Canis lupus familiaris: one gene and its partners. The protein of the gene in region 5 interacts with the protein of the main gene of each other region in a pairwise test. Links are inferred from orthologs where the notes say so. Each region holds a gene or a part of one and is shown on either strand. Other genes may lie near its edges. The genes, in order: SIRT6, HABP4, IMMT, PTN, CHD3, YAE1 and SERBP1.

The links.
Region 1: the proteins of CHD3 (region 5) and SIRT6 interact in a two-hybrid assay, tested with the Homo sapiens proteins (2 studies listed by BioGRID and IntAct). The link is inferred for Canis lupus familiaris from reciprocal best matches to the Homo sapiens genes CHD3 and SIRT6.
Region 2: the proteins of CHD3 (region 5) and HABP4 interact in a two-hybrid assay, tested with the Homo sapiens proteins (3 studies listed by BioGRID and IntAct). The link is inferred for Canis lupus familiaris from reciprocal best matches to the Homo sapiens genes CHD3 and HABP4.
Region 3: the proteins of CHD3 (region 5) and IMMT interact in a two-hybrid assay, tested with the Homo sapiens proteins (2 studies listed by BioGRID and IntAct). The link is inferred for Canis lupus familiaris from reciprocal best matches to the Homo sapiens genes CHD3 and IMMT.
Region 4: the proteins of CHD3 (region 5) and PTN interact in a two-hybrid assay, tested with the Homo sapiens proteins (2 studies listed by BioGRID and IntAct). The link is inferred for Canis lupus familiaris from reciprocal best matches to the Homo sapiens genes CHD3 and PTN.
Region 6: the proteins of CHD3 (region 5) and YAE1 interact in a two-hybrid assay, tested with the Homo sapiens proteins (2 studies listed by BioGRID and IntAct). The link is inferred for Canis lupus familiaris from reciprocal best matches to the Homo sapiens genes CHD3 and YAE1.
Region 7: the proteins of CHD3 (region 5) and SERBP1 interact in binary tests that used the Homo sapiens proteins (3 or more experiments, as listed by UniProt). The link is inferred for Canis lupus familiaris from reciprocal best matches to the Homo sapiens genes CHD3 and SERBP1.

What each region holds. Positions count from the first base shown.
Region 1 is NC_049241.1:55,814,674-55,818,313, reverse strand, and holds part of SIRT6 (NAD-dependent protein deacetylase sirtuin-6), read right to left. Parts: exon of another isoform or gene 3,029-3,640; intron 2,941-3,028; exon of another isoform or gene 2,878-2,940; coding exon of another isoform or gene 2,812-2,877; intron 2,470-2,811; exon of another isoform or gene 2,106-2,469; intron 2,068-2,105; exon of another isoform or gene 1,390-2,067; intron 1,111-1,389; coding exon 983-1,110; intron 194-982; exon of another isoform or gene 58-193; intron 1-57. UniProt on the Homo sapiens protein: NAD-dependent protein deacetylase, deacylase and mono-ADP-ribosyltransferase that plays an essential role in DNA damage repair, telomere maintenance, metabolic homeostasis, inflammation, tumorigenesis and aging.
Region 2 is NC_049222.1:70,965,800-70,970,220, reverse strand, and holds the start of HABP4 (intracellular hyaluronan-binding protein 4), read left to right. Parts: upstream 1-1,481; 5' UTR 1,482-1,554; coding exon 1,555-1,912; intron 1,913-4,421. UniProt on the Homo sapiens protein: Ribosome-binding protein that promotes ribosome hibernation, a process during which ribosomes are stabilized in an inactive state and preserved from proteasomal degradation.
Region 3 is NC_049238.1:39,271,585-39,275,224, reverse strand, and holds part of IMMT (MICOS complex subunit MIC60), read right to left. Parts: intron 3,008-3,640; coding exon 2,871-3,007; intron 1-2,870. UniProt on the Homo sapiens protein: Component of the MICOS complex, a large protein complex of the mitochondrial inner membrane that plays crucial roles in the maintenance of crista junctions, inner membrane architecture, and formation of contact sites to the outer membrane.
Region 4 is NC_049237.1:11,030,570-11,034,209, reverse strand, and holds part of PTN (pleiotrophin), read right to left. Parts: intron 2,895-3,640; coding exon 2,733-2,894; intron 1-2,732.
Region 5 is NC_049226.1:32,947,600-32,951,826, reverse strand, and holds the start of CHD3 (chromodomain-helicase-DNA-binding protein 3), read right to left. Parts: upstream 2,914-4,227; 5' UTR 2,889-2,913; coding exon 2,618-2,888; intron 2,522-2,617; exon of another isoform or gene 2,440-2,521; intron 1-2,439.
Region 6 is NC_049239.1:10,248,536-10,252,860, forward strand, and holds the start of YAE1 (protein YAE1 homolog), read right to left. Parts: upstream 2,854-4,325; 5' UTR 2,797-2,853; coding exon 2,668-2,796; exon of another isoform or gene 2,500-2,667; intron 850-2,499; coding exon 728-849; intron 1-727. UniProt on the Homo sapiens protein: The complex LTO1:YAE1 functions as a target specific adapter that probably recruits apo-ABCE1 to the cytosolic iron-sulfur protein assembly (CIA) complex machinery. May be required for biogenesis of the large ribosomal subunit and initiation of translation.
Region 7 is NC_049226.1:43,517,429-43,521,068, reverse strand, and holds part of SERBP1 (plasminogen activator inhibitor 1 RNA-binding protein), read right to left. Parts: intron 880-3,640; coding exon 706-879; intron 1-705. UniProt on the Homo sapiens protein: Ribosome-binding protein that promotes ribosome hibernation, a process during which ribosomes are stabilized in an inactive state and preserved from proteasomal degradation.

The DNA of each region.
Region 1 (3,640 bases), on a different chromosome or scaffold from region 5:
TACAAACTCAGCCCCTACTGGGGTCCCTGGGGTGGGGTGCCAGTTTGAGACCCTTACACTTCAGCAAGGTTCTTGTCTAACAACAGGATGCCTGAAGCAGGAAGGAGTCTAGACACTGTCTGGTTGCACGCCCTTGTTAATAGGTGAGGAGGCTGAGAGCTTGATGGTTAAAGCCACTTGCCTGGCGCCAGGTCTGATAGAAAAATATTTGCAAGTGAGCATGGAGCTAACTGCTCCTGACCTTCCCATCATCTGACGTAAATAGAATCCCTTCCCCCCACCCCCCACCCCCGCCAAAAAAAGGGACACCTGGGTGGCTCAGCAGTTGAGCAACTGCTTTTGGCTCAGGGCATGATCCTGGAGTTCCAGGATCGAGTCCCACATCAGACTCCCTGTATGGAGCCTGCTTCTCCCTCTGCCTGTGTCTCTGCCTCTCTCCTTCTGTGTCTCTCAAGAATAAATAAAATATTAAAAAAAAAAGAAAGAAAGAAACCCAATATTTAGGCATGTGTGATGAGCCCAGGCAAAAAGACTACATTCTGGAGATCCCTGGGTGGCTCAGCAGTTTAGTTCCTGCCTTTGGCCCAGGGCATGATCCCAGGGTCCCGGGATCGAGTCCTGCATCGGGCTCCCTGCAGGGAGCCTGCTTCTCCCTCTGCCTGTGTCTCTGCTTCTCTCTCTCTCTGTGTCTCTCATGAATAAATAAATTCTTAACAAAAAACCCAAAAAACAAAAAGACTACATTCCCCAAAATCTCTTGCAGCTAGGCATGGCCAGGTGACCAGGTCCTGGAATGGGATGTGAGCAGAAGGTTGAGCATGCCTTAAAGGGACATGTCTGCAAGGGCAGGGTCTTCCCCAAGCTCAACACCCCCAGGGGGAAGGTGGCAGGAGGGGTTCTGATGCCCAAGCCTCTGTGAGCTGACAGGGAGCTGCTGGCTGTGTGGCAGCCCTGCCTCGGCTTCCCCTCCACGCCCACAGACCTGAAGTCTGGGATGCCCGAGGCGGTGCTGATGCCAGCACCTGTGTGGAACACCACGTTGGAGGACTGCCAGACCAACTGTGCCAGCTCCCACACCTTGCGCTCCAACTCCTCAGGCGGGTCGAAGATCTGTCAGGGGATGGAGCAAAAGGGGGAGGTCAAACTGTGTCCCGGAGGGCAAGGTCACTAGCCACAGGCGGGGAAGCCCTGCCTCATCCAGGGGAGAGAACTCACTGGAAAAGGCAGCTGGTCCTCAGGTCCCCCCTCTGCCCACAGCCCTCCAGGACTCCCCCAGGGTAAAAGCCTAATCCTTCCCAGTGGCCCCCAAGGCCCTGCACACCCGCCCCATCCTGTCCCCCTCTCCCCCTCGCCCGCTCTGCTACAGCCACCCATGCCTCCTCACTGTACCTCCAACACACCAGGCCTAGGCCTGATCCTGTGCACGGGCTGTACATGGCTCCTCCCTCACCCCCTTTAGGTCTCGGCTCAAAAGGCCCCTCGTTTGCACACCCAATGTTCACAGAAGCATCATTTACAATCGCTAAAATGGGGAATCAACACAAGCATCCATCGATGGATGAAAGGATAAACACAATGCGGTCCATCCATGTCCGGAATATGATCCAGCCCTAGAAAGGAAGGGATCCCGACACCTGCCCCCGCGTGGGCGGACCCGAGGACACCGGGCTCAGGGAGAGGACCCAGACCCAGAAGGACGCCTCCCGCAGGACCCCACTCCCAGGAAGTCCCCATAGGAGGCCCGTCCACAGAGACAGAGGAGGTGGTGGGAGCCAGGGGTGGGGCAGGGGGCGGGGGTCAGTGCTTCCTGGGGACGGGGTCTCCGTGTGGGGAGACAGAAGGTTCTGCAGACAGTGCTGGGGGTGGTCGCACAACAGCATGAGCGTGTTCTATGCCGCTGAACTGTGTACTTAAAGATGGTTAAGGTGGTACATTTTGCCACAATAAGAAAGAAAGAAAAGAAAGAAAAGAAAGAAAAGAAAGAAAGAAAGAAAGCCCAAAAGTCATGTAAACGATGCCTCCTGGGCTCTGGTTTCAGTGCAGCCCCAGCTCTCACCACCGCTCCCGGCCTTACTTTTCTCCACCCTCTACTTTCTTATATTTACTTGCTCCTCGGGCGTCTTCCTGCCAGAATGAGGGGGTTTGGGATGCCCTGTGCCCCACTGTGGCCCCAGGGCCTAGCAAGCACCTGGCTGGTGCACAGCAGGTGCTCAAGAAATGTCTGTGGGCTCAGGCGACCGACCGGCAGGAGGAGGAAGCGGAGGAGACAGGGGCTGGGGACGGGGCTGAGGGCTCGGGCTGCACGAACCGCTCACGCAGAAGGCACAGCCCAGCCCGCAGCGGATGGGGCGACCCCCCACCCCGCCCCCGCCCACGGGGGGGCGGGGGACCCAGAGGGGCAGGGACTCCCCGCTCGTCCGGCAGCGGCGGAGGGGTCTTTGTGACACCTGAGCCCGTCCCTGCAGCCCAAACCCTCCCCCACCGCCTGGCACGTGCGGCCCCCGCGCTCCCGCCCCTGGGCTCCTCTCCGGCCTAACTCGCGCTCCGAGGGCGTTTATTCGCCTCCTCGCCTCGCCCTCCCTGCAGCTGCGCCCCGGCTTCCCCCGTCACCCGCTCGGCCCACCCGGGGCTGGGGGCGTCCGGGTCCCCGGGAGCGCAGGGGGCGTCACTTCCCGCCCCCTCCTCCCTGGGAAGTCCCTCCCATTGTCTAGCCTCGGTGCCTCCCGATGTTCCCACAATGCCCCGCTGCCGTCCGGCCCCGCCCAGCCCGCGGCGCTGCGGGCGGCCTGCCGGACTCCGGGCCCCGCTCACCTCGGGGAGGCCGCACTTGCCCTTGTCCGCGTACGGCGACAGTCCCGCCGCGTAATTCACCGACATCCTCGCCGCCCCAACGGGAACAATAAAGTTTCTCTTGTTGAGGCCGCTTCCGCCGGAAATGGGGCGGGCCGGGGGGGCGGAGCCGCGTTCCACCGCGCTCGCCGGGCCGCTCCCTCCAAGGCGCATGCGCCTCGCCTGTCGCCGCAGGCGCCATGTCAACTGCTGGCAAAGGGAAGCCGGCCCGCTTGGACGCGGTGGCGGCTGGCGGGAGACCGCGGCGAGCACCCCGCGGAGATTTGTGCAGTCACCCCTGAGATGAGGGGCACAGGCGCGCCTGGGTGGCGCAGTCAGTTAGGCGTCTGCCTTCGGCTCAGGTCGGGTCCTGGGATGGGACGCGGGTGCGGCTCTGCTCCCCTGGGAGCCCGCCCCTCCCTCTCCCTACTTGTGCTCGTAAATGAATTAAAAAAAAAAATCTTGCAAAAGAATAAAATGAGGGGCACAAGTGGCCAGCGCGTCCCCTTTGCTCTTCTTGCAAATGAGCAAATGGAGGTCCCCACGCCACCCCCCGCCGTCGCCGAGGCCAGGTGCTTCCCGTCGAGGCTCTTTCTGCTGCACATTTCGGGAGTTTATGAAAGTCACAAACGCAGGGTACTCGTGCAAGTGTGCGGCGGGGGCCTGGTGTGTGCAACGTGGGGCCTTGGACGCCGCTGCGGATTGCCCAGCGCTGCCCAGGTGCGGGGCAGTCTCCCCTGGGCAGGGCAGGTGCGCCGCTAGGAGACCGCTCAAGGGCACTGGGGCTGGTGGCCTCGAGGATGCGTTGAAG
Region 2 (4,421 bases), on a different chromosome or scaffold from region 5:
CAGGGAAGATCTGCACCAAGAGCCTATTGCTACACTAATCATTGGCAGGAGAATGGAATTACAGTGCATGATTTAAGATTAATCAAGTTTGAGGCTAGAAGGGGGCCCAGCTTCCCCTGGCCCATACAGGCACCTGATACCATAACAAAACACAGGTTCTGGGGGAAAATGTAAGAGGAAAAGGAAGGGCTATGAGACAAGCAGCTGGGTGCCAGACAAAACTTCCTGGAGGATTGTCCAGTTCAGAGTTCTCTGAGCTCCAGGCCTTAAATGAAAACAAACAAATGAAACAAAACCTCAACATGTCCAGAACTGATTTCATGATTCTCATCAAAATGGTCTCTTACAGTGCTCCATTTCCTTGGAATGCACCACCATGGCAGCTGCACAAGCCAGAAATATAGGAGTCATCATACCCTCTTCTTTTTCCTCAACACCCGTACCTACTGCGTCACCAAGTCCTGTTGATACAACCTCCAGAATAGCTCTTGAATCTACTGATCCCTTCCCTTCCACTGCCACCATTCTAATTCAAGTCACATGCATCAACTCTTCCCTGGAGCTCTGCGACAATCTTTTGCTTGGTCTCCTTGCATTTACTCCAACCTGCCTCCTATCTAGTCCTTCACATTGCAGCTGTGGCATTTTAAAATACATGGCTTAAGCTTAAAATTTGCTTCCCGCTACTCTTAGAATAAAGACCAAGGTAAGGGTCTCCGCCAGCTCTTTGCAATTCAGTTACAACGGTTTCCTTTGAGCGTTAATGGCTTGTGCTCCATCCCACCTCAAGACCTCTGTACTTGAGGTTGCCCCTGCCCCCGCCATTCCTCGTGTCTCAGTTTAACCGTCACTTCGAGGGAAAGCCTTTCCAGGCCTCCTAATTAGGTCAGGTCCCTCTGCTTCGGGCGCGTAAAAAAGTCCGTGCCTTCTGTTTAGGGCGCTTTTCTGTCTGCAGACTAAGATTGATGAGAACACGGAGCTCGCATCCCTTACAGCACAACCCCTTACAACCCCACTGCGTAGTTGAACGGCTGGAGGAATATACACACTTCCAAGAGTGGCCCGCAAGGACTGCATCCCGTGTCCCGGAAAGAGGACGGGTAACAGCCGGAGCCCGCCCGCACAGCCCGGCAGCCCGCACGACCGGCAGCCCGCACCCCCAGCCCCGCGGCTCCTCCCGGTAGCCCCGCCCCTGCGCCCCGCCCCTGCGCCCCGCCCCTGCGCCCCGCCCCTCTCTGCTGAGCCTGGGGGAGGGGCATAGAGGTCGCGTGACGTGACAGCAGCCCGCCGTTGATTGGGCTTCCAGGGACGCCGGCTAGGGGAGGGGGCGTGTCCTCCTGTGCTGATTGGCTGCCGAGGGGCGCCGGGGTGGGCGGTGGCGGCGGCGGCGCGGCGGCGGCGGCGGCGGCGCGGGGGCAGGTGCCGAGGGGGACGGGACCCCGCAGGGCAGGGCAGGGAGGGCGGCAGCGGCGGGCGGGATGGGTCCTCGCCGCCGGCTTTGCTGAGACTCGCTCGCGTGGGCTGCCGGCCGCAGGCCCGCAGTGGCCGCGGGGCATGAAGGGCGTTCTGGGAAGTCCCGTGGCCGCGGCCGCCGCCGGCGCCGCGATGCAGGAGAGTTTCGGCTGCGTCGTGGCCAACCGCTTCCACCAGCTGCTGGACGACGAGTCGGACCCGTTCGACATCCTGCGTGAGGCCGAGCACAGGCGCCAGCAACAGCTGCAGCGCAAGAGGCGCGACGAGGCGGCGGCGGCTGCCGGGGCCGGCAACCGCGGCGGCAGGAGCCCGGCCGGGGCCTCGGGCCACAGACCTGGCGCGGGTGGCGGCCGGAGGGAGTCCCAGAAGGAGCGCAAGAGCCTCCCGGGCCCCGGCGCGCCGCAGCCGGACAGCCCCGGGGTCGGCCCGCCGCCCCCTGGTACGCGCGCCCCGCCCGGCACCTGGGCGCCCCCGGATAGGCGCGGGGGTCGGGGGGCAGGACAAGGGGGTCACGGAGGTCATCGCTCTTGGCCGCCTCCCGACCTCCGCTGCGAGACCGGGGCCTGGGGGTCCTGGTCCAGAGGGAAGGGGCCTTGTGGCGTTGGAAGGTAGGAGAAGAGGACGGGAGGGGGCGTCACGCCCCTCGCGGGGGTGGAGGGGAGCGGGCGTGGAGCGAGGGTCTCAGCGTTCTGGAGCTGAGCCCTTACAAGTTGGGCAAAGTTGAGTCACACGGCTCGGGCGGTGCGTGTGGCGGAGGTGACCCCGGGGAGCTCAGAGGTAGAGCGTGCGGAGTCCGACTCCGTCCCCCAGCCGGACCTCTGTCTGCAGGATGCCGGTCGGGAGGCCGCAAGGGAAGCGTGGTGGGGAGGGGAAGGCAGGAGGGCGCGCCCGGCCGCGGGGTGCTGGAGCCGAGGCCTAGGTGACCGCGGGGAAGGGCTGTGACGTCAGGGCCAGGAGCGGAGTGCGGCGGGGACGGCCGCGGGGTCCCCGGCTGCGTGCGGGCCGCGCCTTCACCCCACCCCGGCACCCTCCCGCAACCGGCCGGTCGTTGTCCAGTGCAGCATGTAGTGTCCTTGGGATATGTAACCTGTCCTTAACTCGGGCTGCTTCAAGAAAAGCGTTTGTAACCTTTCACCTTTTCAACAAGCACAAAGTTCCCCACACCGCGTGTACCAGAGACCCCGGTCCGCATCTATCAGGGAGGGTGCTCAGGACTCGCTTGTCACCTGAACTGCATCAGCCCGTAGTCTGCAGGACTCCACCTGTGTTCCATCTGTATTCCTAAAATAAGGCGGTGATGCTGAGTGAGGCTTGCTTAATGAAAGTATTAAGGTTAAGATGTGTCGTCCGACCGCTCAGCCGTTGTTGGGCAGCGTATTCAACTCGCTTCTCTGGCTCGTTCCTTGCTCATGACAGCTGTGCTCCCAGCTGAGGTTACAACTCCTGACTTAAGGGTTGGGTCTTTGACTCGGGCAGGCTAGGTAGTATTTACCTGTAAAACTTCAGTCCAACAGTATCGCTTGTGAATCAGAAAATTCACTACAATAAAGATGTTGGAAACTATTTTAAATGCTTCTGGATATCTCAAGACCCCCATGCTGGTAGGGCCAGTACGTTTATGGGCCTATTTAAGGTGAATGAAGCTTGAGATACATTGTACATTTGGTGTTCTCATTTTTCTCATAAATCTATTTAGATAAACATAGTAATGAAAAAACTGAGGAAGGCTCAGCTTTTCCTCTCCCTTTTTAACAACTGAAAACAATGTGTTTTATCCTTTAGAATAGTGTGAAACTCCATTTAGTGCTATCTGTTAATACATTGCTTTTTAACCTTTTTAATGTTGAAAATCATGCATTATTATAAGGATTTTGAACGGTTCCCTAAATGTATGAAGTAAAGTAAAATTATCCTGTTTTTCTTACTTGTTAACACTTTGCATTTATGTACATACAGAACTATTTCTTTTTTTCTAATTTAAATGATATATGAGCTGAGTTGCAATCTGCTTTCCCTTAGCATTGTAATCTGGGTTTACTAACTTTTCTGTCAGTTGTTCATGATCCAGATGATCTGGCTTTTGAGATCCATATTAAAAATCTTTAGTTAATTTTGTAGTTAAAATGGAAATTTTGTCATTTGTCAATTCTTTTTCAGGCCTGTGTTCAGTTCATTAATTTACATTCATGTAGTTACTGTACTAAATTTTTAGAGAGCTACTCTCTCAAGGTTTTGTAGCCCTAATTGATATGGATTGTGCTTTTCTAACATTCAAAATTTTTAATTTAGAGTCTTATAAGTGAATGCTCAGTATGGACAGGAATCAAAGTCAAAACATATTTGACATATATTGGAAACATTTTTGGATACGGATGTGGAAAGCGTAAGATTTTCCCATAGAAACAGGTTTTTAACGTCCTTCACTATTGAACAACATATATAGACTGTACCCAAGCCTTGTTCGATAAATTCATTCTTGAAATTCATAGAGGCTATTTAAGCTTTGCTCTTCCTAACCTTTCAGAACTACTGTCCTTGAGTCAGAGCTCAACTTTATTTTGTAGAACATCTCACTGTAAATTTTATTATACTCTGTCCCTTCATATGGGCTTGGGTATAGGTCAGTGCTTAGACAACATGTGCCAGCCTTTTATTGGAAAGAGCTAGAGAAATTCAGTGTTTGCATTATCCACTTGGTGCTGCTGACCCAGCACAGAAACAGTCGGTTCAGTTGCAGTCTTGATCTCTTAGCACTAGATTGTGGGGGAAAAAACTGGACCCCTTTTAATCTTTGGGTGGTGGGGAGAGAATGAAATGTTCACAGTGTACTTATAATTATTCTAATAAGTAGCCAGTTATACTTAATGGTTTTTAATTTATGTACCAAAACTTGGGAAGAAGTTTTAGTACAAAGTATGCACTAAATGTCATTTTAAATTTTGAATGGT
Region 3 (3,640 bases), on a different chromosome or scaffold from region 5:
TTAAATTCAAAGGTAAAAAATTTCAGTATTTCTTCAGAGTAGGGTCCCTTAATCTAAGGTTCATGGTTAGGACCAAAGTTCACGAACCTCATCAACACCCCCCTCAATACCAACGAACAAAACTATGAAAGATTGTGGTCTAGCACATATAAATATTTTCTAAGGAGAGATGACTTTGTTATGAGATTCACAAAAGGAGATTATGAAGCAGAAAAGGTTAATAAGAACAAGAACTTTATGAATTGTTTGTTGATCACTCTTCAATGAAGCACCACAATTTAAAATTTGAATTGTAGGTCTGTCTACCAAAATCAGTTTAAGGCTAAGTAGAAAGTTTATACATTCATACAGTCCTTACTCCTCCAACACATCATCTTCAAGAATGACCCTCTCTAACTGGTAAAGTGAAAATCAACTATTATCAAACCCACTGCCCCACCTGGAGCTGAATTTTGTAAAATGTTATACACACACATACACACACACACAAAAGGGTTCCTTAAAAATCCTTATAGAGGTCCAAGGATAAGCTATTTTGTAGAATAAACAGTAGAATCCTACTATTAAGCCAAATCCAACTATTCCAAAACACTGCTTTGAGAAAGTAATTCTGTATCTATTTTAAGAGCCCTTGTGCACCAGTTTTTTTTTGTTTTGTTTTTTGTTTTTTTTTACTAGAAGAAACAAGAAGTTGGAATCCATTTTTAACATTTCAAACCTTCTGTTCATTCATATTTCTGGTTATTTTGTAACACTAGCTAATACCCTCTAATCTAATTAACCACTACTGTAAGATGTCCTTTAGTTGTAAAATCTTGATCTCAACAGATTTCATACGATCTAAATCCACACGCATTACATATTGTGTGTTCACTGGGAAGAGGAAATACCCTCTTACATAGTCTTCTGCCAAAGTAAATACTATGGACATTTAAATCTTCTAATAAGGCGCCTGGGTGGCTCAGTTAGTTAAGCATCTGCCTTCAACTCAAGTCATGATCCCAAAAAGGTCCTAGGGATGGAGCCTCACATGAGGCTCCCTGCTCAGTGGGGAGCCTGCTTCTCCCTCTCCCCATCCCGCTCATGCTCTCTCTCAAATAAAAATAAAATATTTTTTAAAAATAAAAATAAATAATAAAGCTTTTATTCAGTGTCCTGAAACATACCAATCTACTTGCATTTGAACCCAACTCCCTGCCTTCCCACATCTGCATAGCCAAAATATTAAGTATTCTCTGCGTGGTTTCCACTTTTCTGACTGAACTCTGACTGAAATTTAAATTTCTTCTTTCTTGTACTTTGAATAAACCAAAATTTTAAGTTTTTTTAAAGGCTGAAATTTCAGGCTATTTACATCAAAGCCCTAATTTAACTTTTTTTGTGATTTATGTGCACAGGACTAAAACAATGCAGTGTGTTTCAATTTTGTAAAAAGTACACAGTGTGGCAAAGTAATTTTACTAATCATGCAAGATCCTGATCCCTGAGATTCATAGTTTATGTACTTATTTTTACTCTTTAAATGACCTAGTATCAAGAAACATTTTTACACACTGAATAACTGAATGTAATTATAAAAAAAAAAAATAATTAACTCCAGGTATTAACAGTTTTAAATCAATGTAATTACTTTATTCTCTAAAGTGCTCAATATAAGTTAAATAATCATCTTTAAGCATTTAAAATAGCTGGTGTCAGGGGCACCTGGGTGGCTCAGTCAAGTGTCTGACTCTTGCTTAAGTCTTGATCTCAGGGTCATGAATTCAAGCCCCATATTGGGCTCCACGTTCAACAAACAAATAAATGAAAATACTAAAATAACTGGTATGGGGGTACATGGGATCTCTATTTTTTTCTTTTTTTGAGAGAGTGTGAGAAGCAAGGGTGGGGGCAAAGGGAGAGGGAGAATCAGGCTGGCACTATGCCCAGCTCAGAGCAGACACAGGGCTCAATGCTCGATCTCATGACCCTGAGATCATGATCTGAGCCAAAATCAAGTAGGATACTTAACCGACTGAGCCATCCAGGCATCCCTCTGTATTATTTCTTATAACTGTGTATCAATCTAAAAGTATCTCAAATAATAATAAAAAATAAATTAATTAATTAATTAAAGTATATCAAAGTAAAAAGTTTATTTTTAAAAAATGGCAAAAAGAGGGATCCCTGGGTGGCGCAGTGGTTTGGCGCCTGCCTTTGGCCCAGGGCGCGATCCTGGAGACCTGGGATCGAATCCCACGTGGGGCTCCCGGTGCATGGAGCCTGCTTCTCCCTCTGCCTGTGTCTCTGCCTCTCTCTCTCTCTCTCTCTCTGTGTGACTATCATAAAAAAAAAAAAAAAAAAAAAAGGCAAAAAGAATATAAATAAATTTTTTTTAATTTTAATTAAAAATGGTTGGAAACTTTAAAGTGAAAAAAAGTAAATGACAAGGGACGCCTGAGTGGCTCAGTGGCTGAGCGTCTGCCTTTGGCTTAGGGTGTGATCCTGGGATTCGGGATTGAGTCCCACATCGGGCTCCTTGCAGGCCTGCTTCTCCCTCTGCCTGTCTCTCTCTCTCTCTCTCTCTCTCTCTCATGAATAAATAAATCTTTTTTTTTTTTTCTTTTTTTTTTTTTAAAAAGCAAATGACAAGTAATATTCAAGCACTATTAAGATATGAAAGCAAATATGAACTAATTCTTGTACCATATCATTGTTGTGAGATAAAACTGTATATAAAACTCATTAAAAATAACATTTAAAGATTTTTCCTGCCTTGCTTATTTAAAAAAACAATTACTCTAGGTAGTCTTCACTTACTGAGAGAAAGCCCCTACTAGAAGGAAGAAATCAGTCCTAAATACTACATCAATACCCATTCTTTGGCTCACCTCCGAATTGTCCATGGCTGCTTTCAAGATGTTGGAGTGTGCGTTGACAGCCTGAACCGCAGCATTCTGAGCTACAATGGCCTGTTGAGTGATGTGAGCGGTTTGGCTCAGAGCATCTTCTAAGCTCTTGGCTACAGCTGAAATACATACAGAAGAGTTAAAAAACAAATCCTTCCATTGTACATAACTTTAAATTTCCCTTCTTCTCCTACTGAGTCCTCCATTGAATTTCCTCAAAAATGTAAGAACAAAAAATATAGATTTAGAAAATCAGTTTTATTTGAAGGTATGATAAAATGCTAGTAGATTATTAAATCTGGTGGACATATCTATGGGGATTCATTATACTATTTTTACTTTTATATATAACTGAATTTTTTCAAAATAGTGTTTTGGGTTTTTTTAAGACAAAAAAATGCTTAAAGAAGGCTAGCATATACTTCAAATAGAAGAACAAGGGTTTAAGCACTGTTAGCTCTTTATAGTTATTAGAGGCTGTAAATTCAACATAACCACCAGCTTTTTCAATTTAAATAATGATCCTACAGATCCACAGGGAAAAAGAGGTGCCCATTTCATCTCCTCAGCAGGAAGGGATACTCATAGCAACTTATATAACCAAAATATGAGTAGATAACAGATATGAGAAAGAAAAAGATAAGGAAACACGTCAACAAAAAAGAAAAACTGGGATCCCTGGGTGGCGCAGCGGTTTACCACCTGCCTTTGGCCTGGGGCATGATCTTGGAGACCCAGGATCGAATCCCACG
Region 4 (3,640 bases), on a different chromosome or scaffold from region 5:
AGCCCAAGTGTCCATTGACTGACGGATGGATGGAGATGTGGTATATATACACAATGGAATACCATTCAGCCATAAAAAGGAATGAACTCTTGCCATTTGCAATGATGTGCATGGAGCTAGAGAGTACAATGCTAAGCAAGATAAGTCAGAGAAAGACAAATACCATCTGATTTCATTCAAGTTTGGAATTTAAGAAACAAAACAAAGAAAAAAAGGAGGCGAACCAAGAAACAGACTCTTGACTAAAGAAAACAAACTGATGTTTACCAGAGGAGAGATAAGGGAGGATGGGGGGAAATAGATGATGGGGATTAAGAGTACACTTGTCATGACGGGCACTAAGGAGTGTATGGAATTGCTAAATCATTATATTGTACTCCCAAAACTAATACAAGACTGAATGTTGACTACACTTTAATTAAAACTTACAAAAATAATAAGAAATCATGCTCCAAAAAGTGTCTTCTTCCATTTAGGAGTCCTCTTTGCACATCAGTGTTAGGCTTTACCTAGTGCTGTGAAATATAGAACTCGCTCAGGCTAATCCCATTTTCAATTAATTGTATATACCTTAATTTTTGATATTTGAAATTACAGACTGTTTACCCACTTAAAATATTTTACCCCCATTTTTCAAGGTGAAAGCATGAGCCAGACTTATAACCTTCATTATATATTACCAAATGAGAAAATGGAAAACTATCTGCCAGTCCAGTTCAAAAGAAATCCTCACATACTTGTCTTTGCCAAATAATCCGAAGGGTCTTCCTGAATCATGTCCCCACACTGTCCTATCTATTCCAGACTTTTCAACATTTTCCATATCCACCCAGCCCTACCACCATCCACCACCTAATCCTTCTCTCATTTTTCCCTACTCATCCATTAGACTGCAGTCTCTCTCCCCCACAGGAAGGAACGGAGTAGATTGTGTACACGTGTGTGCACACATGCATGGGCATGCATGCGTATACGCACATGTGAGTGTGTGTGGTCTCTATGAGTTTCAAACTCAGTAATTCTTGATTCCGGCTGATACTGAAATCTTTCATGGGACATCTTAATTTTCAAGGCTACTGAGGCTGAGATAGCTGGTCTGGGTTATGCCTGGACAACTGGGAGTTTTAGGTAGGAAATTCTAATGTGCAGGCCAGGGTGAGAACCACTATGGTAGAACATGGAGACTTCTTTAATCCCTTTTCTTTCCAATGCTCTATTTATGCTGAACATTTTGGTTCTCTGTCTGGCTACAAAGTAATTTGGACACTGTATATCTCTGAGTTCTTCCAGTTTTGGAGAAGTCTCACTGGATAGATACGGCCACTAATTTTCATTAGATCTGTGTAGTTGTCTCCAGGCAAGTAATACTCGTAAAGCTGGCACACACGCACTCATGTACTGACCCCAGCCTCACATCATGCCTTCCAAATACACACTGCAACCAGCAGATTTCCATGATCTGCAAAGGGCAGCTTGAATCCTAGATGTGCCATCTGCAACTCTAGCCTGCATCTGGCCACCAAGCAGTTGAAGGTAACCATATCCACGGACAACTCTATCAGAGGCTAAAGAGCTAGGTCTGTGAAATGAGTCCTTTCTGACTATCAGCAGCAGGCCAGCCAATCCTCCTGATTTTTGGAGGTATTTTATCCCCATTTTCATTTATTATGGACTTCATTTTTCTGAGTTTCCCCTTATATTTAATCTGGTCAGTAAGACTTTTCTGGTCCATTTTCAAGCTCAAATATGAGCAAAAAACAGGGAGGTATCTTAGAGTTCCCAGAGACCTACTGTATTCATTTGCATGGGTGGCTTCAACAATAGAAATTCTTCTCAGAGTTCCAGAGGTGAGAAGTCTAAGATCAACAGTCAGCAGGGTTGCTTTATTCTGAGGTGTGTCTGCTTGGCTTGTCGATGGCCATCTTCTTGCTGTGTCTTCATACAATCTTCCTCTGAATGTGTCTGTGTCCTAATCTTTCTTTATATGCCAGACAGATTGGACGGGGACCCACTCATATGATTTATTTCACTTTAAGCTGGCGCAGGGTGGGGGGACACCATTCAGCCCCTAACACCCATGAAACAAGACTGCAATCCCCCCTTGTCTGCCCTCAGCTGAGATTCTATTTCTGTGAAACCATAGCCATGATATTTGTTTTGGTTCCCCTTCTCTGGCATGAGAGCAGAGTGTAACTTTCTGGGAATGACTAGAAAGACAGCCCTATATAATTTTAAAATTCTATGATAAAGGGACTTGGTAAAACTGAAAGAATTGTGAGAAATACAGGAGAAATGTAAAATCATGTGGCTGACTTCATGCAAACTATATATGCTGGATAATCTAGAAGAGACCTGATTTTAGATTTTCTGCCTCATGATCTTCATAAATGTGTTCATCATACTTGTCAGGATGCAGTCTCGATTTAGGACTTGGAATATACAGTCACCATTCAACGACTGGCGTGTTCTGCTAAATTGTTTATTTGTGCGAGGAGATTATTCCAATCCCCACCCCCACTCCCCATCTGTGCAGAGGATTCTAATTTGAACTCATCAATTGCCTGCTGAAAAGCACTGGTGTGATGCTCAACATAAAGGGCTTTTTCAATCCCTTTCTTGAGGTAATTCACCTAAGATTTCCCTCTAGAATATTCGAGTCTCCACATCTGAAGATCCAGCATGACCCATTAACATATGCATAAAGAAAGCATGCTATGATGACAGGAACCTACCTTGAGGTTTGGGCTTAGTCAGTTTGCCACAAGGCTTGGAGATGGTGACTGTCTTCTGGCAGTCGGCATTGTGGAGGGCTCGCTTCAGACTTCCGGTTCTGGTCTTCAAGGCCGTATTCAGGTCACATTCTCCCCAGGCCTGGAACTGGTATTTGCACTCCGCTAAAGACAAGGTAGGATGAAAGAGAAATCTTTGAGTTCCTCTAGATAGACACTTTTCTTTTTAACTTTTTGCAGTGGGATCATTGTAGAGTCACATGTAGTTGAAAGAAATATATGGAGAGATCCCTATATCCTTCACCCTATTTCCCCCCAATTGTGATTATCTTGCATAACCAGAGTCCATGGACACAACCCGGAAATGCAGAGGGACACATTCCTCAGGGGTTATTCATGTTCTGCCAATTTCATAGACACTCAGTTGTGTGTACCCATGAATGTGTGTGTTTAGTTCTGTGTGAAGTGTCACTTCTATAGATACGAGCAAACACCAATACCATTAAAGTGCAAAAGAGCTCCAACGTGAGAGTCCTCTGGGTTATTCCTGTCACAGGCTTAGCTTTGGCACCTTTCTCCCTTTCCATCTCAAGTCCTGGCAATCACTCATCTCCTCTCCATCTCCGTAATTTTTGTCATTTTAAGAATGTTATATAAATGGAATCATACAGTATGTAACCTTTTGAGATCAGCATTTTTTCACTCAGCAGTGAAACATTTCCTAGAGGTCCATCCAGCTTTTGCGTTTCAACAATCAGTTCCTCTTTTTTTTTTACTGAGTAGTATACATAGTAGGCATATATCACGGGTTGCTTAACCATTCACCAGGTGAACGATAGCTGGGTTGTTTCCAGCTCTTGGCTGTTACAAGTAAAGCTGCTATCCGCGATTTGTGTGCAGATTTTTAGAGG
Region 5 (4,227 bases):
TTTATTTTTTCTCAAATTCCCCTCCCTCCCCCACCACGCACCACCATAATAGGTCTGCTGCACATGCGTACTGCAGGCAGGGGGTGGGTTTGTATTTTCAGACCTTTTGCAAAGAAACTACCAGAATTTTCCGCACCACCCACAATCATTCCCCACCCCCACCCCCAAGGAATCACATCTATATATTATGTTATATTATTTCTCGAGACTTGCCAGAAGGGGGAGGGAGAAGAAATGAGTTTTTGGCTTCCTGCTCCCTTCCCCCACCAACATGAGTGCTATTATTTTAAACGTTTTACAACGTAAGGAGCCGAGAAGGGGGGGAGGGATAAAATTGGTCTTGGGTAAGAATGTAAAACAAAATGGTGAGAATCAAAGCAGTCAGGATGAAAAACAATAGACCTCTAATATGTGCGAATTCATATTCTGGAGAAGGATGAGGGAGGGCAGCCCGCACACATTTCCTTCTAGGAGGCTTATTTTGCCCACACCTAGGTAGACAGAAATAACGAGCGGACCAAAAATATTTTTCTCAAAGTTTTGCCTCAGAAAGTCCGGGGGGGGGGTAGTGCATCTGGGTCACTCTGTTGACTTGGGAGGGCCTCAAGACTGGGGGAGGGGGGGTACGATCGCCCTGGAAGAGGGAGGAGGTGGGTTTTCATTTCAGATACAAATTTTTTTAAAAACATTTGACGTTTCTTCTGGGCTGTTGAGAGAGCAGAGGGGAAGTGGGGAGGGAGGACTGACACAAAAGACCCAACCTCGACCTCAGATTCTTTCATGCCCCTCTCTTACATTCCCAAATCTCAGACCAAAAACGCATAAACACCACATTCCAAGTTGGCCCTACAAATAGGTGAGAACTGTCCGCGGGGCAACACAACCTGACATCCTTTCTCTCCCTCTTTTTAGCACATCAGCTGGGTTCCAGGCACCCCCTCCCCACCATCCTTTATTCCTCCTCCCTCCTGAAACCTCGTGGGTTCTCTGGGATAACTTTCTGAAAACTTTTCTCTTTTTCAGACAAGCTTGGGGAGGGGAGGTGTCCCCGTTTCCATCAGACACGTACCCTCCACCACCCTCACCCCAAGAAGGTACCCCATACTCCTCAAAGGCTGTCTCAACCGAACAGGAACAGTTGCCACATAAGCCACACAGATCAATGTGACAGTTTTACAAAGATAGACGTCCTGAAGTTTGATGCATTCGTGCTACAGGGCTCCCAGAGGCCTGGGGGTGTGGATGTCCCCTTTCCAGCCCCAAAGATGCGAGCACCGTAAGGATGCTCCCCTGTCCTCCAGAAGATCGGCAGTCACTGCATTAGGAGGGTGGTCTGAGGGGGGCCGTTGCTGCCGCCCCCCCTCCACTCCAGGCAGCAGGCTGTCCCAGTCCCTTCCAGCCCTGGTGGAACTGCCCAGAGAGCGCCAGAGGACTTGTCATCCCGGGGGAGGGGTGCCGAGTGACGGTCAAGCTGCAGAACAGCTGGGTGGGCAGTGCACGCCCCCCCATTCCCCGGCATGATCAAGGTGCGGGTGGTTTCAGCGAGAGTGACAGTGAATGGCAGCCACGTGAGAGTCACAGCTGGGCAGCTCGGCCACCCCAGACTGACGGGGTCACACGGCGGGGGGGGGGGGGGAGGGGGCTCGCACTTGACACAAAAGAGCCTGGAGCAGGGTGCTGATAAAGGGGGTGGAGTTGGGGGCATCTGGTCACAGACACTCTCCCCGCGCTCCCCAACCTTCAAGGAGTGCTCTCCCGATTAGGACGGGGGGGGGGGAGGGGGCGCCCTGAGGCGGATTAAGCGTGAGTCCAGGAAGTGGTCTGCGTGGAGTGCGGCCACCACCTGCCCCCCATCACCCGCCGCCCGCAGGCGCTCACGCGACCTCTCCCCCACGCGCCACCGCGCGCCCCGGGGAGTCGGCGGGCGCCCAGGTTCCCGAAGGTGGGGGGTCCCAGGGACGCTGGCCCCCACCCCCACCCCCGCCTCCCCCGCCCCTGAGGGGGGGCGGTGAGGCCCGCGGTCCGCTCCACGCGCGGAAACTCCCCGTCACCTCAGTGCAACCCCACTCGGGCGGGAGCCCGAGGGGCGCCCGCGCGGCCGCCCCTCCCCCACGCGCCCCTCCTCCACGCCGCCGTCCGGCCGCCAGGGTCTCCGCGGTCCCTCGCTCGGCCAGGGAGGGGGCCCTGGCTTCGCCGCGGCCGTTTCCTGCCTACCCCCTCCCAGCCGAGGGTAAAAAAAAAAAAAATCTCCTCCTCCTCCTCCCCCGAAAGCCGCGACCGAGTGGCCCGGTCCGCGCGCGCAGCTCGCGCCCAGCGCTCTCCAGCCCGGGCGGCGGCGACGGCGGCGGCGGTGGCGGCGGCTGCGGCGGCGGCGGCGGGGGAGGGGTGCGGCGGGGGAGGGGAAGAGGCCTGGCCCCGCGGCCGCCGCCGCCGCCCGCCGCCCGCCGGCCCGGCCCGCCCGGGGCCCCGGGCCCGACGCTGGCGCCCCGCGCCCCCGGATTCACCTCGGCTCGGCCGCGCGGTGGGTGCCTCGCCCCCGGCCGGCCTCGCGCGCCCGCGGCTCCCGCTCGGGCCGGGGGGTGGGGGGCGGGGGGAGAGCTTCGGGGCGGCCGCTTACCTGGCGGCGGGGGCGGCGGCGGCGGCGGGGGCAGCGGCGGCGGCGGCGGCGGCGGGAAGAGGTGGCAGCCGGGGGGGCTGTGGCGGTCGCGGCCCCGGTCGTGGCCCGGCCCGCGCCCGAGCACTCCCTCGTCGTCGTCCTCCTCGTAGTCCTCGTCGGCCGCCTCCACCTCCTCCTCCTCCTCGTCGCCCTCTTCTTCCTCCTCTTCTTCCTCCTCCGACACCACCATCTCCTCCTCCTCCTCCTCCTCGTCCCTCAGAGGGGAAGCCATCCTGTGGCTCTGGCCCCCCCACCACCCCCCCACCCACCGCCCGCCCGCCTCCCCCACCGCTACCACCACCACCTCCTCCTCCTCCTCCTCCTCCTCCTCCTCCTCCTCCTCCTCGGCGGCGTCCTCCTCCTCCTCCCCACCGCCTCCCCCAGCCCCCCAAACCCCCGGGCCACCCCCCTCCAGAACCCCCCCTCGGGGCCGCCGGCTGAAGAGGGGGGCCGAACCACCCCCAAAAATTGTCTTGGAAAAAATTGAGAGACTTTCCCCCCCTCCCCTTCCTCCCAAGAGAACGAGAAAGGGGGATTAAAAAATATATATATATATAAAAGTTTTCGACTTCTCTCTGCCCCCCTCTCCGTTGCTTTAAATATATTTAAATTCTGAGGGGGGCGCTCAGAAATATTTCTCAGAGCTGAGGCAGTAAGATGGCCGCCTTGAAATTATTTTTAAAACAACCCCCCCCCAAGCACCGCCACCCCCTCCATGAAGAAAGGGAGAGGGGGGAAAAATCCCCTTTTAAAACAAAATGGCTGGCTTAATATTTCAGTTTTCACCCCCCCATTCTCCTCCCTGTTACACCCCCATCTCCTAGCCTCTACCCAGAAACCCACAAATTTCTCCCTTTTTTCATAACTGATTAGTGCACAGATTAATAGAGATATTTTCCTTGTGTACTGTGTGTGTGTGAGTGTGTGTGAGTGTGCGCGTTGGGGGGGCACGAAGGGTTTCTGCATAAAACAAAAATGGCTGCTCTTTCTAACTCCCCCCCCATAAAAATATTTGAGGGGGGGCATTAATCAGTACTCATGCTCAGTCTGACATCAGCATAAATTGTTAAAGGTTAACTAGTTAGATACTAGTCCAACTAGATTTAAATATTTTTCTTTTCTTTACTAGTCTCTTCCTCCCCACCTCCCTTCTCTTAAAGAAAAGCTTTTTTTTTTTTTTTCTGAATACTTCAGAAGGGAGTGGTTTGATGTGAAGGTTTTTTTTTTTCCCCTTCAGGCATTGAAAAGGAAAAGATGAAATATATGTTTATATATAACTCTTGTTTCTACATACCTCGCTGGAGTCAAAACGCATTTAATTGTGTACGTACCGTCCAAGTGAGGCACGGGGCTGGATTTTTCCCCCCTTTCTTTTAAAAAAAAGTGACAGAAATCCTAGTGACTTTTGGGGGGAAGAGATATGAATAGATACGATGATTGAGGTTTTTTTTTTTCTTCAAAGGAGTCCATGTTTGATTCTCCCCTTTGCCCAGGCTTTTCAGTGATTTATAATTGTTGTAAATTTTATCTGCACTCTTTTCTGATTTACTCGCTCCCCCCTTACCCGACCC
Region 6 (4,325 bases), on a different chromosome or scaffold from region 5:
GAATACTTGATCATTTTCCTACTGTAGACTATAAATTCTGATTTCTGACAGTTGAATTTTCTAAAACCTCAATGAACTTTTTTGTTTTGATAACTTTAAAAATTTTTTAAAAACTAATTTAAAAATTAGTGATTCTTCGAACCATTTTATGTTTTTATTTTTTTTCCTAATTTAAAAGGTACAAAGTCTCCAAGATGACAAGCATGTCATTATCCTAGCTCCTTCTGCCATTTGACCTCTTGGCTCTGATATGTGCCATTATTAGTATGGAATCTTGACAGGTATTCAGTGTTCAGCACTAAAGTAAATGGAATCATTTTTCTATGACCAGATATAATTTTCCTCATGCACTTCTAATCTAGAAGTCTGTTTTATTATGCTCTACCACATGTCCAAGATTAAAAGCTTTATTTAAAACCTGAAGATCTTTTGAATTACTTTTGAGATACAAATCGGTGGTAGTTCAGGCAGCACAAAATATACACGTTCCTATCATTTCTTTGCAGTAAGAGACAACACCTGACATATATTAAAGTAGATGAACTGACGGTTCAAGTAGATGACTTTCTGAAGGCAGTATTATTTTATGGTCACAGTACTCTTTTGTGGATTTAACACTAGGAAAAGCACTTCAGTTTAAATACTTTATTTTTACATACTACTTTTATAAAAGGCCTCCAGGAGTACTGAGGTTAAAATGACTCAGCATATAAGTTTAAAAAATTACCTCAGTGTTCCTCTGAGTTGTCCGTAGTTTATAATGATTTCTGCACCTTCCTTATAACCTTGATTGAAGCCTTGTTGAAGAGTAACAGCTTTGCCAGCATCTATTCCATCTCTATAGCCTTCCTAAAAATAAGTAATGAAGAAAACTGCAGCTGTAATTAACACCAAGTAAACCACTGTAGGTTTTTCTGGAAAGTCATAAAACCGATTTAGAATGTTGATGAAATAGGCCTTTACTGCTGTTTACTATTTAACATAATGGTTCTACAACCTATGGCACAGCCACACAACCCGAGCAGATTATGCTTCCCAGCAAGGTTTATTATTCGCATATCCCGCTTTAGGAGTCGACTTATTTGGCACATTTAAAAATACAGATTTTAAAAAAAATATATTCTATTTATTCACGAGAGACAGAGGAGAGAGACAGAGAGAGAGGCACAGACACAGGCAGAGGGAGAAGCAGGCTCCATGCAGGGAGCCCGATGTGGGACTTGATCCCGGGACTCAAGTATCAGGCCCTGGGTCAAAGGCAGATGCTAAACCACTGGGCCACCCAGGCTGCCCCAAAATATAGATTCTTATACAGATTTTAAAAACCCTGTGTTAACAATGGCTTCACAGGAAGGAAAACAGAGAGTTAATGTCTGGCCCCTTGGCAACACTGACTGATGAGCGTTGGGTGAGAAGGTAGGGCAGAAAAGAGGTTATCAGAGGTCTTCAATAATCAGCTCAAGGAGGGAAAGAGGAAACTGGGTGAGTAAAAAAAGATGCAAAGTACGGTTTTAGAAATCTTGCCTGGTATCTAAATTTAAATAAACGGCAAATTCCCTGTGGGCGGAGATACTGTCCTGCGTCTCCATCTCCTCTGGTGCCACTGCACTCCAAGGCCGGTTGCGACTCACTGGTCTGGCCCCCACCTTACATCAAGCGTTTCTGAAACTGGTAACGTGGTGGTTGGGCTAAGCAAACATTTCACTGAAACAAACAAGGGCCAATCGGGCAGTATTTTGCTTGGGAAAGACCTTGGGTGGAAGTGGACCTGGCCGTGTGAACTCAGCTCCCACTGCTCCACCTGGAGACTGAGGGCGTGGCATTAAGCTTAGTTTCAATGAACAAAGCAGAGAAAGATAATGCACACCCAGCAAATAAAAAAGCAGCCAACTTTGGTATTCCTTCACCTAGCCCCACGGTACTCCACAGCAGCTTTCCTTTATTCCTATTTGACATTTCTTTTTATCATTATTACTATTTAAGATCTTAATTTTTTTTTAAAGATTTTATTTATTTATTCATGATAGAGAGAGAGGGGCAGAGACACAGGCAGAGGGAGAAGCAGGCTCCATGCAGGGGGACTCGATCCGGGGACCCCGGGGTCACGCCCTGGGCTGAGGGCGGATGCTCCACCGCTAAGCCCCCCGGGCATCCCTGCTTCTGGACATTCGTAGGTTCACCTTTCCCGTGTGTCTCCAGTAATAACCACTCCCGGGCAGCCCGGGGGGCTCAGCGGTTTAGCGCCACCTTCAGTCCAGGGCGTGACCCCGGGGTCCCGGGATCGAGTCCCGCATCGGGCTCCCTGCGTGGAGCCTGCTTCTCCCTCTGCTTGTATCTCTGCTTCTCTCTCTCTGTGTCTCTATAAAAAAAAAAAAAAAAAAAAAAAAAAAAAAAAGTAACCACTTCCGACGTTGGGCTCGTGACCCGTTCGAGCAGCCCGTCCACGCCCTCCGCGAACCTCCCGGCACGGCGACCCCCGCCAGGTCTACACCTAGCTCGCGTCTGCTCCCAGCGTCCAGCGCGCCCCGAGGTCTCGCGCGCTTTCGGGTAACCCCTCGGTAACCCCCTGGAAAGCCCTCGCGGGCCCCGCGGCCTCCACCCTCGCGCCCGCGCTCCGCTCTCTCCACAAGCCGCCGTGTGTCCCCCGCGCCCGCCACGCAGCCTTACTTTGACTCGTCTCTGCATGTGGCTCCGCCATTCCCGCTGCACCAGGAGAGACTCGTCCGCCTCCTCGTCAAACACGTCCCCTTCCTCTCCGGGACCCCGGACCAGCGGGGCCCTCTGAACCCACGACATCACCGAGGCAACCGCAGGGCGGCCGGGCGCCGGAAGCGCCCGCAACGTCTTCCGGTCCGAGGGGCGGGGCGAAGGCTGCGCGTCGGGGCGGGGGGCTGCCGCGCATGCGTGCGTGACGTCGGGTCGGGCCGCGGGGCGGGAGTCGCTGCTGCGGGACCCGGACCTCCTCGGAGGGCAGCCGGGACGTGCGGGGACACGCTTTGCCTTCCGGCCGGGGTGGAGCCGTTGGAGGTGGTTCAGTGGATGCGCGACGACGGGCCGAGGTCTCGGTGTCTGGGAAGCTCCCCGCAGCGCATCTTAGGGGTTTGACGTCCACGGGCCTTAGCCGTCAGCGGCACAGGACTGTAGGGCCCGAAAGGTAGCTCCTGCGGCCAGTCCGAGCTCCATCCATGCGGGGCGCCCCTGGAGTGCGCTTCTCCCGGGGTCTCGGGGCCCGCCGCTGGCCCGCCTGGCTGCGGAGGCCGGCCCTGGTGCACCTGCAGGGGCTCGGCGCCGCCTGGTCCCCACCCGGGGCGGGGGCGCTGGGACGCGTGCGGGTGACGGAACCCACACCGGGGCTCGGGCCGTTCAGCTTTTTTTTTTTTTTTTTTTTTAATATTTTGTTTATTTATTCATTAGACACACACAGAGAGTGAGAGGCAGAGACACAGGTAGAGGGAGAAGCAGGCTCCATGCAGGGAGCCCGACACGGGACTCGATCTCGAGACCGGGGTCACGACCTGGGGCCAAGGCAGGTGCTCCACCGCTGAGCCCCCCGGGCTGCCTGCCCGCCGTTTAGCTTTTTGCGTGGTGATGGGGTGGTGATGATTTATTTATTTGATGCATTTTGTGGCGCCAGGCACCGTTGCAGCTTTCGGGGTACGTCAGGGAAGGACAGACCTGACTTAGCAGCTCTCCTCCGGTTTACGTTCCGGTGGAAGGGGCAGGAGGAACCAGAAGCACGGTATAGGTGAATTACGTAGTTTGTTACCAGATCATAAGGGATACATGCTGTGAGACAGAGAAATAAGTGAGCTGGGCAGCCCGGGGAGCTCAGCGGTGGAGCACCTGCCTTCCGCCCAGGGCGTGACCCTGGGGTCCTGGGATCGAGCCCGCATCGGGCTCCCTGCAAGGAGCCTGCTTCTCCCTCCTCCTGTCTCTGCCTCTCTCTCTCTGTCTCTCATGAATAAATAAAAAAAATCTTAAAAAAAAAAAAGTGAGCAAAGTAAGGGGAACCATGAGCCTGTGTGTCAGGGGGAGTGGGTGGTTTAGGTGATCATTTTAAATGCTCAGAATTTTGCATTTACATGCAAAATTTTAATTTTATGTATGTTGCATATATATGCATACTATATATAGTAGTTACTATATATTATACATGGAATATATATTGTGTATAATATTGAATACATTATACAGAATACAATATATATTATGTATATAATGCATATATATTTTTTACTTGGTAGGTCCATGGAATTATGTATAAGAATACTCCATAGTTGGCCACATAAAATACCTTAACTTAAAAACCCGGACGTTTTATAAGT
Region 7 (3,640 bases), about 11 Mb from region 5:
CTAGCCAGACAGAGACCATGAATTAACCTAACGCAAAGGTTACTGCTAATACTTTAATTTCAGTCATTAACAGCATATACTTTGGCATCAAATGATCAGAGTAAAAATTTATCAATCACTAGGTCTTCTATAAAAATATTTAAGAACCTGTCATATACACTGTATGAGGCATTAAATTATAAAGGGAGGACAAAAATGAATCCCAGCTCTCAACACTGCAGTCTAGTTTTTTCTAGATTATTGAAAAAGTGTCAATAATCATCCGGTTAGTGTCACACAATTATGCACACAAATGCTACACTGATACTCAAAAATGTAGCCAAGAGTCAAGGCAAAGGAGATAGTTGGCATTTCAAGTAGACTTTAGCTAAAGCTCAAGTTAACTTGGTTCCCTGTACCTAAATTTCCTCTTCTGTAAAATGGGGATATCAATATAGTAACAAGAATGAAATGCCATAGTACATAAAATACCTAGCACACCACCATGACCAGCACCAAATACTCAAAAAAGTGAAAATTTAACTTTACTAGCAAGCACTCTTCAGTCAATTTAAGTGCTTTTAAGCAAAAATACAGCCTAAAATGTAATTTCTTGAAGGTATATCTAACTACTTCTTCCTTCTAATCCTAGCCCCAAAAGGACCCAGGGCACTGATTTACCAAAAGAGGTCCTCAAATTACTTTAAAAAGAATTCTTAAAATTACCTTGTCAGTTCTGCTGCCACGGTTTGGACGTCCACCACGCCCACGGCCACCTCGTCCTCCCCTGCCACCACGTCCTGGGCGGCCAAGGTCTCCAAAATTGATCTCCAGCTGAGACGTTATATCATTTGCTGGCTTCCGGAAATGATGGTCCATAACCGAATCTTCAGCATGAGCCTAAAAATTTAAGAGTAGGTCATGGGGTGATTAACAGGAAAGCAACACTGCAAATTTCTAATTATTGAGCTTTCTCTTAAAAAGACCAAGAATCGGGATTTCCTGGGTGGCTCAGCGGTTTAGTGTCTGCCTTTGGCCCAGGGAGTGATCCTGGGGTCCTGGGATCGAGTCCCACATCAGGCTCCCTGCAAAGAGCTTGCTTCTCCCTCTGCCTGTGTCTCTGCCTCTCTCTGGGTCTCTCATGGATAAATAAAAGCTTAAAAAAAAAAAAAAAGAGGGATCCCTGGGTGGCGCAGCGGTTTAGCGCCTGCCTTTGGCCCAGAGCGTGATCCTGGAGACCCGGGATCGAATCCCACGTTAGGCTCCCGGTGCATGGAGCCTGCTTCTCCCTCTGCCTGTGTCTCTGCCTCTCCTTCTGCCTGTGTCTCTGCCTCTCTCTCTCTGTGTGACTATCATAAATAAATAAAAATTAAAAAAAAAAAAACATTAAAAAAAAAAAAACCAAAAATCCAATCTGTACTTCGTGAACAAATACAACAAATGATAATTTAAAAATATCAATACCACTAAGGTAATATGTAAACTTGGAGATCAGCTGTGATCTTAAAGGAAGAGTTCCTTTCACTTTTAACTTTATAAACTACATGTGATATTGGCAAGTCTTGATCAGAGGTATGTAATCACAACCACTCAAGTCTCTAGGGCCCATTTGAAACCTACCAAATCATAATCTTTAGTGAAGTTTGGGTAAGTACATTTTAAATATGTCCTTCAGATTAGATTCCAATGTGAACCCCTGATGAAGACTTTTGGATAGATTGCACGGGAGGTCTGTATCAGGGATTAATACTAAATCACTTTGTGAGTTTTAAAGAAAATTCTGGGTCTGCACTCTTCTAAGTCTGACTTGGGAAAATTGCAGAATTACAGACTCAAAAGTGAAATCAGGGAACCTTGAAAAGCTATAAGCACAAATAAATCCAAGCCTTAAATACAGCCAGGTAACCTTAATGTCAACATATTTGTGAAATCCAGGTCCTCCTTTGTATTTATATATAAGGTATACCACCCACTCTGTAAAAAAAACAAAACAAAAGCCGGACAATTTTACACTGCTTAATTCCTAATTTTTTCCTGTATGTTTGGAATGAATAAATTTTCACCTTCTAGTTCCAAACCTTTCTTATAGTACTTTGGAGTGTGTTTTAGTTTTTCTAAATGCAGGTACAATCCTTTTCTGAAGGAATAATGAACATTTTGTTCTTTTTAAATCCTGTAACACCACAACTGTTAATAACTTACCACTCACTCTAAGTACCAATGAATTTTATATCTGCGTCTTCGCCCCTTTGTCTAATATCCAAATTAATTGTCATTCCTTAGTGCTAAGCCAATCTAAAGGCAGTAGACGGTTCTTCTTAAAATATCAACTTTAGGGCAGCCTGGGTGGCTCAGCAGTTTAGCACCGCATTCAGCTCAGGGCCTGATCCTGGAGACCCGGGATTGAGTCCCACATCGGGCTTCCTGCATGGGGCCTGCTTCTCCCTTTGCCTGTGTCTCTGCCTCGCCCTGTGTCTCATGAATAAATAAGCTCTTTATATATATATATATATACACACACACACACACACACACACACACACATATAAAGTCAATTTAAATTAATGTTTAAATGTAAATCCAGAAAACCTGCAAAGTCAATTATACATACTAATTGTTTGCTATTGCAAAACAGTATTATCAATTCATTAATTAGAAGCATTTAAGTTTCTAGGAAACAGAAGCAAAAAAGCCTAATTGATATACTACTGAAACACCTCAAAGGTTTTATTACAATAATATAGAGGAAGTTTAAATGTTGGTGAACATCCCTTTAAGACAGCTAGTAGGATAAATCTGCAAAGTTTTTTTTCTAGAGCAGTGAATGATAATCAGGAAATAAGAGCTTTGGCTTCAGCTCTGTCAATTAATACCCTAATTCAGTTATTCATAATCAATTTCACATTTTAATTTTAAAACTTTCTAATTATATATAACGGTTATTTCTGAGAAGCTCAATGTAAAAATATGATACCTAACCTGATGTCTACAAAATGCATGAAGAGACTTCAGAGTAATTAATGAATCAAGAAAAATGTATCAGTATTTTGTGTATGTGTCTTGTTTTGGAGAAGACCTCAAAAAAGTTACAAATTATGCCAAAGGTACCTTAAGTAAATCTTTTCCATATTAACCTAAGCAGTTTAATCATTTCTACAAATTAACAATCTCCCCAAGATGAATTTTCATTGTTTCTTTAATCAAGAATACTTTAACCCAGATACACAACTCTATCTGCAAGAATTATAAAAAAAATTTTTTTAAATAAGCAAAAGCATTCAAATGAAGCAAAACGTCTTTTCCGACACGACTTCGCACTTTACAACATATCCCTGTTTATATTATTTTATGGAGTCAATGTTGTTAAAAAATAATTTCTAAACCATAAGTGTCTCAACCTTTATTTTACAATGTTCCAAGTTTGTTTCACAGCTATTTGTTTAGAAAATGAAGACGCAATATCTCATTGAATCTTTTAATTACACTGCCTTAGTAACATTTCAATTTAACTTTATGATTAGCATCTCCTACTTGCATAAGCCTTAAATGATGTAGCAGTGGGACTTTCCTCTAATAACGTGCTCCAGGGATTGTTACCCAATCAAAAACCACGAACATACCTTTCTCAAGTATTTTCATTAGTAAATTACTTTGCTGGTTC